Lepisosteus oculatus: one gene and its partner. Each later gene encodes a partner of the first gene's protein in a complex. Links are inferred from orthologs where the notes say so. Each region holds a gene or a part of one and is shown in the gene's direction. Other genes may lie near its edges.

The links.
Region 2: the proteins of senp2 (region 1) and small ubiquitin-related modifier 3 are in contact, whole or in part, in a crystal structure (PDB 2IO1), measured with the Homo sapiens proteins. The link is inferred for Lepisosteus oculatus from reciprocal best matches to the Homo sapiens genes SENP2 and SUMO3. Residues at the interface, in NP_067640.2 of Homo sapiens: Gln385, Asp386, Phe393, Lys394, Leu395, Arg396, Trp410, Leu411, Asn412, Asp413, Glu414, Ser439, Thr440, Phe441, Pro444, Lys445, Arg456, Trp457, Lys459, His474, Lys476, Val477, His478, Trp479, Met497, Gln499, Gln542, Asn544, Gly545, Ser546; in NP_008867.2 of Homo sapiens: Arg55, Arg58, Arg60, Phe61, Asp62, Gly63, Pro65, Asn67, Asp70, Leu75, Asp81, Asp84, Phe86, Gln87, Gln88, Gln89, Thr90, Gly91, Gly92, Val93, Pro94, Glu95.

Annotation. Positions count from the first base shown.
Region 1 is NC_090707.1:24,426,361-24,437,386, forward strand, and holds the start of senp2 (sentrin-specific protease 2), read left to right. Parts: upstream 1-6,646; 5' UTR 6,647-6,984; coding exon 6,985-7,154; intron 7,155-7,806; coding exon 7,807-7,862; intron 7,863-8,349; coding exon 8,350-8,465; intron 8,466-11,026. Other genes in the region: c12h21orf58 (uncharacterized protein C21orf58 homolog), read left to right, coding at 44-285, 836-881. UniProt on the Homo sapiens protein: Protease that catalyzes two essential functions in the SUMO pathway.
Region 2 is NC_090707.1:24,026,382-24,037,591, reverse strand, and holds the start of small ubiquitin-related modifier 3, read left to right. Parts: upstream 1-5,949; 5' UTR 5,950-6,070; coding exon 6,071-6,091; intron 6,092-7,328; coding exon 7,329-7,457; intron 7,458-9,638; coding exon 9,639-9,710; intron 9,711-10,671; coding exon 10,672-10,734; 3' UTR 10,735-11,210. Other genes in the region: pttg1ipb (PTTG1 interacting protein b), read left to right, coding at 627-670. UniProt on the Homo sapiens protein: Ubiquitin-like protein which can be covalently attached to target lysines either as a monomer or as a lysine-linked polymer. Does not seem to be involved in protein degradation and may function as an antagonist of ubiquitin in the degradation process.

The DNA of each region.
Region 1 (11,026 bases):
TGTATGCATTTTTCAATTTTTTATTATCTTCATCATCTTCTAGGACAGTTATTTGGGCTCGCCCATCATCCTGAAGTCAGAAAAGCCCCGCGGAAGTTCAGTTCATCATCACCACCACTACACCCCTCCTCCCCTCCAATTCCCACCTTTTCCTGGACAGCTTCCACCTGTCAGCTTCCCCATGTGGCCACCTATGGTGGCCTCTAATTCCATGGGCCAGGGAGGTGGTTACCAACCATCAGTGCATCACCTGACGGGCCCCACTACACTCCCACCTCTTAACACGTAAGAATCTGCACAGCATCTGTGAGGTACAGAAACTGAAACAAGGATGTGAAGTATTGCACTAAAGGTTTCATCAATGTCCTTCTGAGCCACGTGCATTCTCAAGTTGCTTCCCTAACACACTCTTTCACAATTGATGTTGGAAGGTACTGTAAACATTTATTGGGGGTATACTTACAGTATTTAACCTAGCAAATCTCCACTGAAGCAACATTTGGAAGCAACAAATAAGGAATGAAATTATAGTGAATGCTATGGCCCATAAACTGGACTGCTGTAACACATCAATTTCCCTACGGGATTAATAAAGTATTATCTATCTATCTAAACAGCCCTTTAAGTATGACTATCCTCACAATAAATCCACTTAGACTACAACAAGAATGTAAGTTTGTGTGAAACACTAAAAATATTAGTCATGGTAAAATAAATGCAATTATTTTTATAATAAACAGTACATTGGTTCTAGAACTGAACTAAGACTGGATCCTGATATGTTTAAAGTTTTCTTTCATGAAAATTGAAAATAAAAAAATGTTGTCTTTATAAGGGTAACAATGGATGGGTTCCACAACAGAGTCCCACTGGGCCTTTGAGGTGAGCTTACCTACTTAATTACTTTTTAAAAACAGTAGCTTAAGAACTAGATAGGTACTATTTTAAAATGTCTCATTATGCTGGCTAAACCATATTTGTATTCAATGCAGCCTAGGCCAACAACTATTTTTTACGGTCTGAGAGTTCATTTGTCTTACACTTCATTACATATTCTGCACTGTGTAAATTTTAATGTGAATGTATGAATTTTTCTTAATGTAACATAATGGTTTTGCGAGCTGCATGTCTCAGACATCGGTCAAATAATTGAATAAAAAACATATCTGATGAACATTTGTCAGACAAACACATTAAAGCCACCTGCCCTATGTTTTCTGTCAAAGTAATGCTGAAGGGTATCTAATCCTTTCTTAAAAGGCTGAAACTTTTTAACCAAAATTCACCACAATTTATTCTCCTTTGTTACCCATATGGGCATGCTTCCTAAAAATCTCTGCACATAATGACAAAAAGTTGCCTTTTATCTATTGAAGTGTCCGGTGAAGTGATTATTTTAAGAGAAATGTATTTCTCTTACACTCCGAAATACTTCGGATGGTATTTCTCCTCCTTTTGTTACAGCATGTTTCTTGTGCAGATCATTTTCTTGAAAGAAAGTCTACAAATTGCTGATTCAATTCAATTTTATCTTTGTGTTGCACCCTTCAAATCAATTGGTCACATAGTGTTTTTACTGCATTAAACACAAATTATACAGATGGGGATATACAGTTAAATATGTCAAAAGGAAATTAGTGTAAGTGGATGTAAAGTAGTTTAATGTATTGTAGAGTAACAGTGTAACCATCGAGGAAGGATCAGAGAAAAACAAAAAAATAAATCTCTGGGGTTCCATGTCTCGATGGTTTTCTCCTTTCCAGAAAAAGCTGTGTGTAGCAAGAAATTATTTTAATGACAGTATACTGTATATGTGATCCATAATGGGAGAGGTTGTGCTTGAGTTTAGTGTCTGTAAACAGATATTTACTGTGAGTGGCAGTGGATGTATCGCAGTTCACTTGGCTGATCAATCTAGGATCTCTGATCTACGTTTATAGCACTTCCTTCTTATTTTGACAGGCATTTAGGTGACTATCCATTTTATCTTCACAAAGAAGTTGCATCCATCTTCAGGCAGTACCTTAAGCAATCTGACTGGGAGTGTATAGGTTGGACATTGCTGACATCCATACAGAAGGAAGGGACCAGACTGTTTGAGATCCTTGCAGATTGTTGCTACATCTTCTTTCCTGTGCAAGGCTGCAAAGGAGTGTTTCAGTATTCAAATGACTGTCCATTTTAAACTCAGTCGCTGATTATATCACTTTGAGCAAACCATGGAATGTTGATGCAGATGTATAAAAATATATGTAGTTAGAAGTTGAAATAGATTTTACGTTAAATATTCTTCATGATTCTGAATACAAATCTTCTCTTAAAAGGGGTTATTGAAAGAAAAAGCCATATTATTATATGTTATCTTAATAATGCTATATTTAGCCTGAAACGTTTGCTTCTTTTCAGTAAAGCTTTAATATATCATGTTATTTTAAAGGACTGTTTTCTCCTTAATTTAGTGCATCTATCCATATGGAATGACCTTTCCAATAGTTTCACCTACTGTTGTCACAAACTATATCTATTTCTTTCTTTTCTTTGTAAGCTATGTATTTTTGTATTTATGATTTTTTGCAAAGTGCTTGAAATTTTAATAAATGTCGATTCTAACAACATATGTTTCTTTTTGTGAAACAGTAACTGTTTATGTTTGGAACAAAATCACTATAAGACTGAATAAAAAGAAAATGAAGTAGATTATTTTACCAATTTAAAAGCCTTTTATAAACAGTCTTTTGTTTTCTGTTTGTATTCTCTAAACCAGGAAACAACTTAGTGTTTATTGTATTAAGCTCTTTGTTGGTAAATAATTGGGTTTCCAGCTGCCCTGTATTAAATTTTGAACTAGACAGACTCTATCACAATGACATAGAGATTCCTGGTTCTGGAGAGCCACCCATATATACTTCATAGCAAACATAATCAATTTATATTTAATGTGTTTTACCGGAACACATACAGTATATTTGCAAAAAGTTTTTGTCACAGAGCGTGATCCCTAAATGCAGGATAATGTTAGCTTTTGTTGCTAGCTACTCCACCTAGCAACATTAAGAGTACTAGGACCGTTTTTGCTCCACAACAGGTTCCTCTATCCTACCAGAACCATCAGTACACCCAAAGATCTGCACAGAACAGGTGTCATACATAATTACACTTTTTAATACTTTATTATCAATCTATTCATCACACAGGACCTGCGATGCGACAGATTCTATAACTGCCTACCCAATACACAGAATACATAACACAACTTAATCAAAAGAGGCACATACTCACAGAACAGTAAAAGATCCCCATGCATCCCACTTACCAAAACCCAAATTTCCCAGAGGAGCAGTCCAACATCTCTGCTCTCTAAAACCAACTCCAGTTGGTGAGCTGGCATGCTTTCTTCCACCACAGACAGAAGAAACTATTTGTAGTTTTTGATATCTCCTCAGTCTTGGCCATACTGGACAATGTGGTCTCTTATGTGCCTTCCCACCCTGTTTTGCTCTGAATCTAGCTTCGGTAGGGGAGAGGAAGATGATGCTGGAGCCTTCCTCTAATTCTCTACTAGAATCCTTAGTGTCTGAGTCCTTACCTGTGTGCTGTGGTACGAACGGTTTTACTTTAGTTTCTTCTGTCTGTGTGCCCCATGAGTCCTAATGACTGGGGTGTTTGAAGCTCCTCCTACCAGGTCACATTCTCAGGCAAGTGGAAGTCTCCCTTTGATGTCTTGGAAGTGGGCAGAGCTAACTGCTTGGGGATCATTGATCAAGTCATGCAGATGACCACGATTAATGCTGCAGTGCGTATTTATCTCAGTCTAAAGTCCAGTTAGACCTGTCTCACAATCACACGTCACCTTGAACTGTCAGGTAACTGCACAAGGAGGACCTTTGATCTATGGGAAGCCCCAGAACAAGGAAAGACACGGAATGTACCATCCTTACAGAGACACTAGCCATTCTATGCAAACTTCGTGTCAGTATAGCCCTCACACCTCCGGCCCGACACCAGTTTTTTTACACTTTCTCCTACCTTTTCACAGCTGATGCATTCCTGCTTTTAATGTTGAATGCTTGTAAGGTCTGCTAGCCCAACACTGAAAACTATGCTGTGTATGGCAGTAAAATTCAATGCAGATAAAGCTGGCATTGTGAGTATCATGTTTGTATGGGACAATTAAATTAACAGTGATGGTAGGTATAGTAGTAACTAGTGACTAGTTTCCATGGGAATGTATTGGATTGGACACCACTGATGTTAGGGTATCAATGTCTTGTGCATACAATTTTTTGCTCAAGTTTTATGATAGCTGTTAGAGTATGCCAATGTTGCTTTATAAGTGCCACTATATGGCTTTGTAACAGCTTATTTTACTTAGTACTAAATTGACATTTTGCTAAGGTGGCTGACATAAGCAAAGAGGAGACTGGATATGTGGTTGATGAAAATGTATTTATCCCATTAGCTATCCTTTTCCCATTGTAATGGGGTTTCCATCTGTTTAGGGGCTATTCACCCAGCGGATGAACAGAATAAAATCCTGCAACTGACAACTGGTAACCCACTGAAGCTAAGTAGGTGTGAGCCTGGTCAGTACCTGGATGAGAGACCACCTGGGAAAAACTAAGGTTGCTGCTGGAAGAGGTGTCTTGCAGTCTGTTTTGGTTCTAATGCCCCATTATAGTGACGGAGACACTATACTGTAAACGGGCACCGTCCTTCGGATGAGACTTAAAACCGAGGTCCTAACTCTCTGTGGTCATTAAAAAACCCAGTGTGTTTCTTGAAAAGAGTAGGGGTGTTACTCTGGCATCCTGGCCAAAGTTCACATTGGCCTTTACCAATCATGGCCTCCTAATAATCCCCATTTATGAATTGGCTTCAGAACTCTGTTCTCCTCCCTGCTGATAGCTGGTGTGTGGTGAGCATTCTGGCGTACTATGGCTGACGTTGCATCATCCAGGTGGGGCTGCACATTGGTGGTGGTTGAGGGGAGTCCCCGTTACCTGTAAAGTGCTTTGAGTAGTGTGTCCAGAAAAGTGCTGTATAAGGTTAAGGAATTAATTAGTTAACAAAATAATGAGGTGTACCTAAAGGCACTAGCATGATCTGTGAGAAGTGTGTTGTCCTGAGAGATAGCTAACTGGCAGTTGTTCAACTTAACATTTTCCACATTTTTACCTTTCTGTTCATGTATTGTAGTGTGGGCTACATTAAGTGTTTTAATAGAAACATAAGCAACGTTCATGAAATAAAGAAAATAATGGAGTGTATATGACTGTATAAATGTTTTGCATCGCATAGTACTGTAATACGTCGCAAATTAGTTTTTAGTGTGAAGAACACAATTACGAGTGATTGAACCTGTTAAGGCTAGCTTGATGCAGACGCAAAAAGAGCGTGATATGCTGTTAATGAGGGTACGACTGAAAAACTATATAACAAATCCTTAAGCCTGGTCTTTAAACTAAATTGACTTTAAATTGTTTTAAACAAATTCGACTTTGTGGCAAAAAGGGTTTCCTGTTCTGTCCCCCCAAAGCTTCTCATCACAGAAATACAGCATGAGGAGGTGAGAAGAAGTCGAGAGGCAGAAAATAAAAAGTCTCTTGGTATTACTTAAAAAAAGGATTGATAAACATTAGTGAACTTCATTAATTAAAAAGTATATACATTCCTTTTTAGTTCCCTGGAGAAGAATATCAAAACAGATCAGTTTTGAAAACTGTAACAAGCTGTATAAGTATATAGCTGTAAGTTCTAATCATGTGTGATAATGAAAATTGTAAAAAAAAAACTTGACATGACAATTTGCGAATATTATTTAATTTGCGAATATTAATTAACAAATTATACAGGGCTATTTATAAAAATGAAGTGTTTATGTGAAAAACACACCACAAAATAAACCTACTTCATTGAGTGTTCAAAATAAACACCTACCTACTTCATTGTATTCGCGCAACTGTATCGACTCTGTTATCTAAAAAGTTTACGTTTTGACAGTTGACCGCAGAAGAAAATCCGAGATTTTACCCATATAATGTAATGGTATATCAGCCTGACATGTAACTGTCCAATACGTAATATACCGTTTATGTACAAATACACTACGTATACGCGGAGAGGACTGATAAGTCTGTTTTTCATGGTTCTGCTTTCTGCTGTTGTTTTGCTTTCTTAATTATAAAGTGTAATGTATTAACTGTAAACACAGTTCAGTTTATAATTGGTGTAATTGTAATTATTAATGTAATTGTAGGACTAGACTGAAGTTGTATGAACTTGGTGTGTACGATTGTTTTATATAATAAGCTAAAACGTTAAATATAATTGTTATTTGATTAAAAGTTTATATTATTAAACAGGAAATAATATTCGCAAAAACAGATTTCTCTGACAGCTCCGAAACGGAATAATTGGTGGGTAAATAAAACACACAGTGCGATGCAAATTAGCTTCAGCCTCGTTGAAAGCTTGAATAAAACACACGTTGTGAGTTTTACCTGCAACACTATAAAACATCACTCACAGTGTTTGTAGAACTACATATAATTAAATGTCAAAACACATCTGTACCCTTGCAGTGCATTTTCACAAACTGGATACTTCCCGCGGTGCGGATGTCCACCCTTGCATTGCTATGCTCGGTCACTCGCTTGCTGGTACGCATGCGCATCAACGAGGTTCGGCCTTATTGTGTTTTGGTCCGTGCTGAACTGAGAAGGCTGGGTTTAGTACTGCAAATTGAGAAGTGCGTGTTTGACGTATTGTTGTCGTTCAGTTAGCCAATGAAACCCCAGGATGTAAAATCTTAATGTTTTGTTTAACCAACCAGGTAGTTTATTTCAGTTTTTCAGACGTATTACTATGAGACGGTCGTGACGCGAATTGGTGTCCCTGTTCGGAGGCTGGTCAACCCAGCACCCTTCAGACCTGGCCCTGACAGTGACAGACGGACAGGCGGCCTTGTTGTCGCGGTTTTCTGATATGTATGAATGGATAGTTAACGGCATCACGTCGTTCTTTGTTCCACGTTCCCGGCAAAGGACGCGGAGTCCTCCCGGCACCGAGACCCCGCCGAGTTCCGCCGCCGCTCCTCGGCTGCAGAGCCGCGTCAGCCCCGCTAAGAGAAATTACCAGAGGTCGGTGTGTTGCAGGTTTGAGCGACGGGGGACGGGTGTGCAGACCAGTGCCTCGTTAACTTTTTCTTTATTGACATGTTTTGTTTCGAAGTCAAGTGGCAGTTTGATAAGAATAACGAGAAACAATAATGGTTAATGAAATGAAATAGTGTGTCGAACACGTATTTGTTCGAGTCATGCCAAGTTTGTTTCGGCGTTTTAAAAACCGTAACTTAGACAGTGTCGTGGAGTTTACTTCAAGACGTTTTGCTTTCCAATTGTCTTTGCTAGTGAAGTTAAATTGCAACTTTACGCATTGATAGCTCGTTACCCGTAGTTTTATCGGTGCTAGAATTTGTTTGGCAGAGAATACAATTTTTAACTATTGTATTAATTCCGTTTGTCAAATAGCTGAATCACGAATAAACGTTTGAAAAAATAAACTTGACATTTTAGCCTGCCTCTCTTAGGGTCGTAATGTATCCACCTAAAACCTTTTAAGGTTTTCCCATAAAAGCTGTTTTCATCTGGCTGTCTGGCACAGTGTTCTTGCTGTTGCAGGACATGTATTTGTACTGGTGAAATGTACAGGTATGGCACCTTACTTAGTTTGCCACAGCATCGAGTTTAGTGAGGAATAACTTTTATTCCAGGTTTTAAAATGGCCTCTGTGTTTTCCCCCTCCCAGCATCCAGACATCAGACACCCAGACTGAATGTTCGGGGATCAAAAGACCCAGAAGAGGTATTTTTCAGGCTTGTCTCTCCCTGGTGAAATTGTCAGTGCAGCTCTGATCTCTAGATTTGTTTTCTTTTTTTGCTTGTTGGGGAAATTAATTCATATGCTAAAAACGAATTTAGTTGGGCCCAGTAACGCCTGTAATTAAATCTGATCACCCTATTTATTTACTTGTGCCCAGAAACAATTTTCTACCCTATATAAAAAAAGTATCTTTGCATTAACGTTTCAGCAACATGTTTTGTTCAGTTACGATTATAATAAATCAACTTGTCTATTTGGAATGTAAATCATTAAACTCCCTAAACCTGAATAATAAAATGGATGGATGCAAAGGTTTGCTCTTTTCTATTAAGCAGTTAATGCATATTGAACAACTTATTCTAAACAGAATGTTCTCTTTTTTTTGTGCCTAACAAATCTCACAAGTAAAAGTGAGTATGCTCCAGTTTTGACATGTGGTGTCTTGTAATGTTTAATCCTTTCTGCCTAGATGGAGCTGTCAGTATTGTCAAAAAAACACTGACGGGAGTCACCGGGTTTTTCAGATTTCAGAATCCTTTTACTGCTTCTCACTGTGAAACCCTAAAGGTGAACAGCACTTCTCAGGTAGGTACTCTGTTTTAATTAAATACCATTTCAAAGAGTAGATTTTCTTTACAGATTCTCTAGTCCAAAACTGTTTTTACAGCAATACCATATTTAAGAAAGGACAATTGGAGGTTTAAGGAGTATTATTAGATTCTGAAGTGTTTCTCTAAAGTGCCATACAAAAGTATTCAGACCCTTGTTGTTTTAAAGCTTGCACTTTGTGTAACATTTATTTTTGCTATATCAACAAAGTTCTCCACACAAAGCAGGAAACAAAAATGAGTCAATTGAAAATTCATATGAAAGAAAAATGGAAACATCATGATTTCATAAGTATTTAATAATAATAATAATAAACTTTATTTTATATAGCGCCTTTAAAGGTAGCGTCTCAAAGCGCTTTAAAGGATGACAATAACAATAAATAAGAAGACTGCAACAATAAATAAGAAGAATACACAAGATAAGATACAATTACAATTACAACAATAACAATAGAGGAGACCATGGAAGGTGGTACTTAGAAGAACAGGAGTGAAGAATGGAACCAGTTAAATAAAGGCTTTTCTGAAGAAGAAGGTTTTGAGTCTGGATTTGAAGGTGTTTAGAGAATGTGACTCTCTGATATCCTTGGGCAAAGAGTTCCAGAGCTTGGGGGCATAGCAGGAGAAGGCCCTGTCACCCATACAATGTAGACGGGCTTGGGGGACAGTAAGGAGGGCAGAATTTGAAGAGCGGAGGTTGCGAGGTGGGGAGTAGGGCAATAATAGTTCAGACAGGTATTGAGGTGCCAAGCCATGTAGAGCCTTATAGGTGAGCATGAGGATTTTAACGTCTACGAGGAATTTGACGGGAAGCCAGTGCAAGGACTCCAGGTTAGGAGTAATGTGAACACTTGCACTAGACCTGGTCAGGATTCTGGCTGCTGAATTGTGGACATACTGCAGTTTGTTCAGAGTAGATTTAGATACCCCAGAGAGTAGAGCATTGCAGTAGTCAATTTGAGAGAATACAAATATGTTGATCAGCTTTTCAGCCACAGTTAATGATAGCATAAGGCGTAGTCTTGCGATATTTCTAAGGTGAAAAAAAGATGTTTTGACAGTATGCTGTACATGTGGGTCGAATGTTAAGCTAGAATCAAACATAACCCCAAGGTTTTTCAATTTTGATTAAAGTACAGAGCCATCTACAGATGGGTTAAAGGACTGGCTTTACGAAGTTGATGGGGGTACCAATAAGCATGACATCAGTCTTGTCACAGTTAAGATGAAGGAAGTTTTGAGTCATCCAAATTTTTATGTCAGAGATGCAATTAGATAGAATAGAGACAGCCACATCAGTGTCAGGTTTGGTATGGATGTATATTTGAGTATTGTCAGCGTAAAAATTAAAGCTGAGGCTTTGTGATCTTAAAAGCCGACCAAGTGGGAACATGTAAATGCTGAAGAGCAAGGGGCCCAGTATTGAGCCCTGGGGGACACCAGACTTGACAAGACCAATTTCAGACCTGTACCCATTGAGAGAGACAAAGTGACAGCGATCAGTGAGGTAAGATTTAAACCATTTTAGGGCAGTGTCAGAAACTCCAAACACAGTCTCAAGATGAGAAAGTAAGATGTTATGGTCAACGGTGTCAAAGGCAGCACTGATATCGAGAAGGATGAGTATGGAAAGAGAACCAGAATCAGAAGTTATTAGGAGATCGTTGGTGACTTTGACCAGGGCGGTTTCTGTGCTGTGAAGTTGACGGAAGCCAGATTGGAGGGGTTCGAAAAGGTTGTTTGTCATGAGGTGGTTATGTAACTGAAGTGTGACAGCACGTTCTAGAATTTTTGAGAGAAAGGGTAAGCTGGAGATGGGGCGAAAGTTGTTAAAATTGTCGAGAGCCATGTTAGGCTTCTTTGGCATGGGGGTAATGGCAGTAGTTTTGAGGACCGTTGGTACAATGCCAGTGCTCAAGGATTCGTGTATAATATTGAGGACAATGGGACAGAGAGAAGAGAAACAGGACTGGAATAAAGTGGTGGGAATGGGATCTAAAATAGATGTGGTGGGTTTCATGCCCGTAACTAGTTTGTTTAGGGATGCTGAGTCAAGAAGAGAGAAGCTGGAGAGACGGGAACCAGAGAAGTTGGATGAGGAGGTATGGAAATGATATCCGTAGTGGAGAGAATGTGATGCCGGATGTTGTCAGTCTTAGAACTAAAGAAATCTAAGAATGTGTTGCAAAGTTGTGATGAGGCAGGTAATGTGGTAGGGCAGTTTGGCTTGAGCAGTCTCCACCTACACCACCTACGCTCAAGTTTGCGAGAGGCTGCCTTCATGAATCGCAGATGGTCATTGTACCAGGGGGCAGGGCGAGAGAAGGAGATGGTTCTAGTTTTTAAAGGAGCAAAGGTGTCGAGGGTAGATAAAAGAGCATTGTCAAGTAACTGTATTTTGTCCTCTAGAGGGTCAGAGGAAGAGAAACAGGATAAGGAGGACAGAACATAATTTGCAAACCTTGGGTGATCAATTGGTTGCCAGTTGCAGAAATTTACAGAGCGTGGGGAGGAGGTGTTAGAAACGGGTAATTC
Region 2 (11,210 bases), about 400 kb from region 1:
CAGCATCAAAGGAATTTATTAAGTGATTTATAGAAAGTCACACGAGAATTTCTAACTGAAGTGCTTGCAGTATGAATCTGTGTAGTTTCTCTAAGAAATCAAACATGCCAGTTATCTTTCAGAAAGAAATGAATAATTGCTGCATAACCAACAACTCCCCTGTTGTGAAAGGAATTTAATATTACATATGATGCACACACCCTCTGTTGGTGAAAACAAATACAACATGTAATTGAAAAAGGAAGTACACCTTGTATCTGATTCAGTTTATTCATTTGATATCATCATACGGAGATCTTTGATGTAAATTAGATGGTAATGTGTTGTTTAAACGTGGTGCTGAGACAAGTTTGCACTTTTTATGGTGCTTTTGTCATATTATTTATGTTCTACAAATTAAGTACTTCAGTACCTAAAGCAAGAGGAGTTTGAGCAGCTTTTTGTTCTTTTAATAAAATATTGTTTTGGCTATGGTGGAAGAGTAAGCTTTGTAAGCGATGGAATCTGGATGTCATATTCTGGCTTCTTTACATGTTATTTCATTTATGTCGTTTTTTTAAACTCCTTTTATTATGTGGTACAGCTTGAAAGTATGCAAATGCATTCAATTAATTTTTCTCTTTTAGGTTTAACGAAGAGCAACCCTTACTCTAAATTTGAAAACAATTAACTCCAGTGGAACCAGAGGCTCCTCAACTTTCCAAATCTTTATTCGATGGACGAACAAATTCCTGTTAGACCACTGATTGCAGATTTTTTTCTTACTGAACAGAAAATTCCAACATTAAACAATAAGGCCAATTAAATATAAATTGTTTTGTGAAGGTGAGTGAACCATATTGCTCTTTGCACACACACACCTTTACATCTCATTGTAGAAGTCAACCAGTTTAAGAGATTTTCCTTTGTAAAAGCTGAATTATCTTTAATTCCACTAAGAAGTGAGTTGTTTAAAACTTGTAGATAGAAGCAATAAATGCAATGCATAAAATAATTGAAAATAATTTAGTGTTCCTAAATACAATTAATAACATCTATTATTTTAAAATTTAATCTAGCAAATTTAAGATTGTCAGAGAACTCTTTTAGGTTTAGGAGTTTTAGGTTCAAGAGGTGATGTGAATACATTAGTTAAAGGTCAGGATTCTGAATTTGTTTGATTTCCCAGAGCAGTAGACTCAGCAAACAAGATATTTAAACTAGGCTTCAGCATTGGTTAGAGTTACAACAAAGTCATTTATAATATTAAGATATTTTTCAGTACCATTTAGTCTAGCTCAGGTGATACCATTTTGGGTTTCTTAAAAATACTATATTTTAAGTAGCTATTAAAAATTTGAATGTAATTTTGTTCTTACTTTGTACGAATAAAGACATGGAGTTAGTTACTATTAAATTAAGACGTTTGTGACTCTAGCCTGATAAGACTGACTCATTTCATAAGTGCATTCTGTTTAAAAAGAGAAGAATCTGATAATGTCATGTGTGGTTGCTATTTTTATCTGGAAATGTCTGCAAAAATTATTTTCCCACAGTGATAGTTTGAAGAAAATACTGGTGTAAAGTTCTGTGAAATTATACACAGAGCTAACTGCTTGGAATTCACTCAAAGATTGAAATAGCTCTTTTTTTCTCAAGTTTTTGCTCCTTCAGTGGTAGTGACAAAACATAAAAGAAAAGAATGATGTTTCCTGTTATAAATGCTAATGCAGTGTTGGCTTTGTTCCTGTAATTGCTAGACTTAATATCTTTTTGAAAAAATATTTAGATGTTTGGACGACAAATTGTTCTCAGACATGATAGCATTTTAACATCATAGTTATTCTAAAACAATCTGCATTGCAAACCATTATAAAGAGGGTATTTTTAACAAAGCTTTCGCATGTAGAATAACAATTTTTAATGGGTTGAAACAGCAAACTAATCGGGCACTTGTGGCATTTCATATAGGGACAGATCAAAGAGAATTGCTTGATATAGGTCTAATGGTATAGCCACTTTGAGAAGTTTCACAATGGTGAATACTTTCAGATATGGTCACGACTTATTGAAAGCCTGTTTTTGACACATTGCTAAATGTATACGCAAACTTTGTTAGTAACTGTTCTGGAAGGCAGATGTCAGCGGCAGACACTGAGCAGTAAGTTTGTAACACTTATGGAAATTTTACACTTGAAGCACAGCTGCCTATATTATATATACCAAAGGAATAAGAGGAAGAGTTAGCTTTTAAGGGTTAAGCGCTCCCTTGATAGTTCAGTAGATCATCTCAGCCCAGTACTCTTTAAATCTCAGCTTTGTATTTGATCATTACTCACACCGAATGTAGAGCTTTACTTAAGTACAGCTTTATGTACTGAGTATCATTTGATTGAAAATGTGCTGCACTGTTTTACACTCCAGTTTTTATAGAAATATAGGACCTTCATACTTTTTGCCCGTTAAGCCTTTTTCATACGACAAACCATGAGTAAGGAAACCATTGTGCCTTACATCTTGTGCCTTACAACAGTGCTTTGCCGACAAATTCACTGACCAAAAATGAGTAGAGGTTGCTTGTGGATATTAATCTTAAGTATATTTTTGTATCTGTTAAAAGCAGCACATTATATATATATATGATGTTATTTACTGTGGTACTTAAAACTTCACGCTTTTTTGAATTTGTATAATGGTAATTTTGGTGTTTCCTAATAAATTGCAAATGTAGTGCGATCACATAGTGATTTCTGTGTAGTTTTAATGTTTCATTTATTAGCTTACCATTAAAAAGAGCTTTTCTGTTTTAATAAAAGAAATAAAACTATTCATCTCTTGTTGCTGTGCCTTTATTTAAACAAACAAGAAGATTTTATGCAAAATGTCCTATTGTTTGTCATTTTATTTTATTAAGATGACAATACAATAGGTGAATGTACAAGGAGATTTTTGGTTTGCTTTCATAAATGCTTTGCTCCTTTGAGATTGAACGAAGGGTAATTTGGGGAAATCTTTCCATTTAGTTAGGTTAATATGGTTACAATCTTTGCTGTGTTCGTACATAATTGGGTCTCTCCTGCTTCTGTAAGTAAACAAAATGATTAAACTTTGTAGCATCATATGAGCACAATAAATATTACAATGCGAGGCCACGTGGCCTATGTAGCTCATGAGGTTGGTAGTAGCTAATGTGTGGATCTCTTCCATCCATTTCTTTGAAGATACCAAAGTATTTGCTTGGATAGCATGGTTGGGTATCGATCATAATTTTATGACATTGCATTCTGCTATGCAGCAATTATGCCTTTGGGTTGCCTTGGTAAATGTGCCTTTCGGTATGGACCAAGTTTATTATCATCTAGCTCCTGTTTAAGAGCTAGTGGAAGAGTGACTTACGTTGCATGTCCTCTTAGTGATGAGGACTAGGTTTAAAATGCACACAAGTAGCTTATTCAGTAGAAATATCTCATGTGAGCTGTAGCAGAAACTTATCGTGTAGTATTGTATCGTATACTACAGTCCCTTATTTCATCTAAAATGACAGATCATCACCTGAAAATTCTTCACAATTCACCTCATCAGAAAAAAGGAGGCTCGAAGTACAAAACAATTCTCACTGAATTCTCAACTTCTACTGTACATCTGCAGTGTAGGGAATTTCTTCTTGGAGTAGCATGGCCTAATACTGTATATACAGTTAGGGAGTGAGTAGTTTGTCTTAGATTATATAGCAATGTACTTGAACTGTTTCAGCAGGAAAGGTCATGAATTTCTGTTGCTTCTAACTTGTTTTTGAGACAAGAAAGTGAATGAAACGTGGGCAACAGCCAAAAATAGCAAAAAAGAAACTTGAAAAAGAATCATCACATGAGAGCAGTTTCACAAAACTTTAAATTTTGTTTCACATCTTGCAGAAAAACTCTTTTGACTTTTAAACATCTGACACTGAAGACTGAATATGGAAGCTTTACAGTTCAGGAAGCTCTCAATTCTGGTGGGAACTGAAGTCATTAGAGTCAATTTAGTAAGTAATGTATACCACCTCTGCCCACCTGTACATAATCTATCATATCCAAAACTCAAAAAGCAGGTTTTTTGTGTGTGACCTTCCATTAATTAGATAAATGGGAACAAATATGCCCTCGCTTGGGGGAGTGAAGGTTGAAAAATGAAAACAAGAAATCGGAGCCAAGTACAATTAATTTAGCAGGGGTTTTTTTGCGCAGCCACGTAACGTCTCAGGCAACTCTCTCCTTTACTTCATCTGCGTGGTCTAAAAAAAATTGTTCATAGTGCGACCTCTAGTGGCAAAGTATAGTACGACAATAACAAGATTGAAAAGGACACGAGTGATAGAGAATTGGGCCCAAATTAGTCAAGTCAGTTTATTGTGCTTAACTTGATCCGCACTATTTAGAAATTATTTTTTAAAAAGACGGGGGAAATAAGCAACAAGTGGTGACTGAATATTATTACTCCAAATATATTTATTATCTTCTCTGTGTTCCGTGTAGTTCGTGCAACTACAGAAATGTCCAACAGCACAACAGCACAAAGAACAGAGTAGTTTTACTTACCTTCTGTTCTCGTAAAATGTTAATTACGGAATTGAACTGAGAAGGACAAAAGCTTGTGTGTGGAAACATTCGCAACTTTATCTGTCAATTTAGTTTTGACACAAGGGATGTTATGTGGATATGAATCTGAGGTTTTCATCAAGCAGTTTCTTTACAGATCCCAGGGAATCAGAATTAATAACACAACTGGTAGTTTGTTACAAAGACATTTTGGGAACTAGAATAAGGTAGTTTCCTATAATCCACCCTCAAATACTTTTCGGAAGCAATCCCATTAGGCTGATTTTATCAACCCTTTCATGACTTTAAATATTTGAATGAAGTATGCATATAATCACATGGGATATCTATTTTACCAGCGACATGTATTTGTATGCACTTATTTGCAAGTCCTAACTAGACTTTCTCAACGTGTTTTTTTTAAAGAAACATTAGTATTACCAAACATTGCACAAGGTATTGCATCTGAGCATATTTCATGTGCACGTTTTTTAAAAAAGTGACATTTTTCAATATAATCACCTCAATGTAGCAAAACTATTTATCTTAATGTTAACCAAAGGTAATGTTAATGCGTAAGTTTTATCAGTTTAAATTCATCGAGAGTTATTTAAGTACTCAATACAGAATGTTTTCAGTGTTTGTAAGATTTGTGAATTAGTGCTCGTCCGGGGAATCGTTTAATATGCATTAGACGGTATTGCTGAACCTTGTATTCTTATGTGATCTATTTGATATAAAAAATAATTCCCAGTGAATATGAAGGCACATTAATCGTTCTCAATGTGCTTAAGGATATTATTAAATTAATAATATTTATTTGATTTATTTAATGTTATTTAACCACTACGGGTAGTTCCCTCGTCCCTTTGCTTCTTATACGATTATCATCAGTCAAAATAACTTAAAAAGTAATTTTGCACACATATCTACTTTTTATCAGTTGAATGCAAAAGACAATAATGGTTCACTGTCCGAGACGCTTCTACATTTGTCATTTAACATGTTAAATGCGCTACATGTGTAACATGTGTCATTTAAGGTAAATGTCAAGCATTCGTTTATCACTTACTGTAAATATCACTATAACTTACAGTACTGTAGGAGTACTTTATTTTCTCGTCCGAACACCGAGCGCCCCCTGTCGTCATAAAATAATCAAATATCACATATCAGAATAAACGGCATTGTATAAATTAATTAGAAAATTGATTTATTTTGGTGTATACAGATATTAGAGATTAGCTAAACTTGTTTGTTCCAGCGCATTATACATACAGTTAGTTTTGAGCAAGTTAAAGCAAAAATCCTCACTATGGCGATCTCCGCGACACCCAACTGCTTGCAGGACATGCGCGTACCCGAGAAAGCGTCACGTGACGTGCTTTCTACCTATCAGTGACTGGGCTCTTCAGGCACAAGGCGCGTTCCAGTGGTGGAGACGACTGGCAGAGGTGTATTGAAAAGCTGTCCTTCAATAAATCCACACCGAAAACTTACAAATCAGAGGCATCATGTCTGAAGAAAAGCCAAAGGTAAGGTTCTGATGCTTTAAAAAAAGACGATTTATATTTTGTGTGATTATTTAGCGGTATGGGCAATCAGGCTGTGTTTAGGGCAGGGGATTCCTCATTTTTGTGAGTAGAATGAGAACCAAAATATATGCAATAAAAAAAATAAAATCTGCTATTTGGAATTTGGAAGCATAGGTTGGTTCTTCAGCAAAATTTACTAAGGTGCATTAGGATGGGGCTTTTCATTGAAATTGCGCCATTGTTTCCCTCTGCCGCGCAATCTCCTCGGGTTGGAATTCAGTGTGTGCTTTGCGCGATTTTCTTTGTGAAAGGGTAATGGAGTCGCAAAGCAGAGCTACGCCTTCGGCGTAAGAAATGCCGCAAAGGAGAGAGGTGCTGAGCGGAAAGATGCACAGTGCAAGCAGCCTCCATTTACAAAGCTGAGCGCATCACCGTTATGCAGTTTAACAGTGCTTTTTGGTAAAGCACACTTTACACGACCGTGGAGGGAGTGATTACCTTTTCGTTTGTTTACATAGGTATTTGTTTTAACTATGATTTCGTCCCATTTAGTTTGTAATTTCACTGGGGAAGGGGGTACGTTAATGAATATGGCCTTGTACCTTGTTACAAATTACAAAGTTGAGAAAGAACGTGAAACTACAATAAATCCCAATCTCTATCAATTAATGAGAACGTTTCTTCCCCTGTACTGAAATAAGGCAGTTCATTCGTTGAGAATAAAGTGTACATCTTTTTTCGATTACAAATTATGAACATCTCCTGTCATGCCAATTCTATGCCATAACAATATTAGGCTAGTAATAGTAACGTAAGGTACGTTTTATATTTGGCAATAATGATAAAAAGTACAACATTTCCAATTTATGCAGCACAACTGATAAAACATGGCGATTTTGCTGGAGCTGGAGGGTTCACCATGTGTGATGCTCTGCCAAGGTATTAAACACAACGATCCGTAGGAATACATTGGTTCAAGTAAATCATTACGTACTGTAAAGATTTTCGCTGTAGCTGTCAAAAAGTAAAAAAATAGTCAACGTATGAGATGCTTTCAGCAGTTAGTGCGCAGAAAAAATGGTCGATGCTTTAGTACACGTTATGAGGGTTCTAAAGTAACTTGATTTGTTTACATCAAGCTACTTTGTTACTATGTAAAAAAGACCTACAGGTCTTCTGTAGATTTATTTGAGCGATTAATCCATGTTTGATAGTCTTGTTTTTAATTCACTTTCAGGAAGCAGTGAAAACCGAGAATGACCACATTAACCTGAAGGTGGCTGGTCAGGATGGCTCTGTTGTCCAGTTTAAAATTAAAAGACACACCCCCCTCAGCAAACTTATGAAGGCATACTGCGAAAGACAGGTAAACATTCCTTTGAAGTATTTTTCTTTACCGCGATCTTCCTTAAAGTGCCTTTATAAGGATGTAGGCAACCATACTTGAGTGTCAAAGACTGCATATCTTCATAACATTTTAGGACGTGCACTCTTTCCTTCGGTGGTGTTTTCCCGTATGCATTGGTGCAAAATAATTCATAAGGTTTGATTCATGTGTGGATGCAGGACATCTGTAATTGTGTGCACATACAGTATAAATCTAGAGCTACTTTCCCTTCATAATGATTAATCTTTTCTTGGATGGAGCCTGTAAAATCTTCAGCATTGCACAGGCTTATTAAGTGCACATTGTGTATGTGGGTGCAAGAATTATGCCATGGGGTTTCTCAAACTTTGGACACTTGCAGGACTTTATGTTTTTATTTTGAGGAATAATCTGGTCTGAGCACAATCGTGCCTTTAAAAGGTGAGCACCCAAGTTCCAGAGAAATCGAACAAACAAAAAAAAGAATTCAGTGCAGATGTGCCTTTTAAGTATGCCAGGCTACAGTACTGGGGACAAAGGGTTTTACAGTTACTACATGGATCAGGCAATTACAGTACAAATTAAAACAAGCCAAAAATACCCACTAAAATCTTAGTTTTTAAAATATCGCCATGCTGCAAGGCATAGTATATGCAAAATAGTTGTAGCAGCACTTGAAGAAAAGACAGTTGTGGCTTGCTTTAAAGCTCAAATGCAAAATAAAAAACAGCAATATTTTAACTATATCAACATGCAAACAAACCTGCATTCCTGACCATTGTTTTCTCAAAAACCGTCACCTCTTAGGCTACAAGGAATGGTTAATTCCACACTGAAACATAGAAGGAGAAATTCAATGTATTGACTGTTGAGCCGGCAGCTGTATTTTCTTTTTAGTTTTCTGTGTGGAATTAATCTTAACTTGTTCCTTTGGAATCACGTCACAGTGAGTCTGTTTTAGAGAGAAAGAATTATGTAATGCTGTGCTTAATTGTCTTTGTGTAGGCGAATGTTATGTTAACAATTGTCCTGCATATGCCCTGATCAGTCTGGGAATGCACAAACTGTCAACGTTTAAATAGTATAATGCTGATTATATTTTATTGCATGCCCACATTATTTAGGATAATATAGAACTATATGGACAATGTGCTTATTTACTGTTTAGTCAACAGATGGATTGGATTTATGGCAGGCTTCAGTGTAGGTTTTGTGGTTCACACTTAAAACAGTAATCAGGGAAATAGTTCTGTTAGAGAGTTATTTATAAAGGACAGGACACATTTTTGTGTTCTTTTCATTTAAGTGCTGAATGTTACAGTTAGTGCTTACCTCTCTTACTCCGCTTTAAAGATGTGTACCAGTGATTATAGCAGTACTCTTTCAAAAAACATTTCTGTCTCTAAAGGTTTGAGGATTGTCCAGAGAAACATCTTTCTAATGGAGTGCTAAGCCTAATCATAAACGTATTTGTCTATAATTAGTCCACAAGTATTCTGTGATTTTCTGAATTGTCCATTTTTTGAAGGCTAGAAATATGAGGGAGCAGTTTTCCTCTTCAATTTCCTGTAATATATATATATATTATATATATATATTGATGGTTCTTGTAATTAGACCCAGCTGATTAGGACTAGCCAGCTGTGTGTTGCTCACCTATGCTCACAAGTATGAGCCCTGTCACTGCATGCAGGAAAATGAGGATGTGAAGGGAGACTCATCATGTCAAAGGCACTACATCTGGAGGCTCAGTGCTAAATGGAGGAAAGACACATCCCCGAACAGCATATCATATGTGCAGGCACCCAGGAAACCACAGGGCTCAGTGTGTCGCTGAGGGCCCTGGTCAACTCTGCAGCCTAACCTCGGCAGTGCTCAGTCAGTCGCATGCTTTTCACTGGAGAAATGCCTGTCATTGCTGGCTAGTGACGTGACCCAACATCAAACTGGTGACCACAGAGCTTTAGTCTGTGCTTATCAAGCACATTCACCAGTGTGCTGCTTTGGAGGCATGGGAAATGTAATAGTCACTGTCTGCCTGCACCTTTAATGACAACATATTGTATTTTAGCTTTGACTGCCATTTGAGCTATTTAGAGTGGTAACTGGTAATGTTGCAAAGTGCAATGTTTAGATGCGGTTATTCATGAGGGTTTAACTCTTCTATTTTTTGATTCCCAGGGTCTGTCAATTAGGCAAATTAGATTCAGGTTTGATGGACAGCCAATCAATGAAACGGACACACCTGCGCAGGTAAGGACAAACTCAAAACAATTGAGAGGCACTTAAAGCCTGCTTCTGTTTGTCACAACTGTAGTTTTAGGCTCGCCCTGTCCGTTCCACCTGAATTTGCCTTCTTAAATGAAATGAGATGTTTTTGACATTACCTGCTGTGTTCTGTTGTTGTGCTGCTGGAGCACAATGGATGCTGCAGGCCTTCCAAGAGAGTGCCCACTTCTGTAGTAAACAATATAGATCTCCTCATACATGTGATTGATTTGGGACTGAAGGCACTATAGAAATACAGGCAATACTTATTCCATTTCCTGTCACAGTAGCAAACCTGAACTATTGATAGCTTAATGTAATTTGTACCTATTTTAGCAAGAACCTGCAGCACGTTTGAAGCATCAGAAGTATCACTTCTTTTATAAGTATGGAGGTCCAACGCCTGTTGACTTGAATACTTGTCTATTACAAGTTTTAGTTTGTTTTGAGGTGAACATTTTTTTTACATATTACAGTTAATATGTAATGTTTAAAAAATTATTTAGACCGATTATAAGTATTGCATTCAGGCATACCAGAGGGCAATTACACAATGTTGTCCTTGTTGCTTTTGAAGAACTGTGTAATAGTGCTTGTACGTTTGCAACAAGTGCCACTCTGAAGGTCTGCACTGGCACTCACTGACCATACAGCCTTGGAAGAAGTGATCTTCGGTGTTCAATTGCTGTATATTGAGCAGTGATATCCTGTTTCAAGATCTATAGTCAAGAGGCATTGATAGAAAAGTAAATCCTTGAAAACTGGAACCAGATAATTAAATGATGTGAACACTGGTTTGCAGTAGAAGGAAGCTTTTAATGTCATTCTGATTTTGGATTATCAACAAGTTTGTTCATAGTAAAGAACTTGGCCTTTGTTAACTGCAGATATTGTGTATACATTTTGAAAACAACTCCCTATATGAAAAGTATGTGTTTGCTTTCAGCTTGAGATGGAAGACGAAGACACTATTGATGTATTTCAACAGCAGACCGGTGGAGTGTGTTAAAGGTGTACATCCTTCCTTAAAGAGGACTGCGGACCTGGAGTAAAACCCACTTTACTAAGCTTTTTTATTTCTTTTTTCCCCCCTCCAAATACTCGGTTTTAATGTTTTTTCCTCATAAACCCCCCCCCTGGACTGTTGTGGAAACAAAGTCTGAGTTTGAACGCTGGTTTTAAATGATAACCATGACTCACTGGGAGCAAAGGATTCTTTAAACATCCATCCTGAGTACACATGAATTAAAGTGCATGGTACGTAGAGAGCAATTGTGGTTTCCCCTCGAAAAATGCATGATATCTAATCGTGGAATTTAATGGTGGGCTGTGAGGTGTTGGGGGGAATCAAGTTCAGGTTTGTTTCAGTGAGTGTAAAAAATTGTAAAGAGCACATTCTTGGAGTCATGCTGTGCGTTTTTCAGTGGGCTCATTTTATGATACCAATTGAGATTAAATTAATAAAGCCACAATTATTATTTTGGA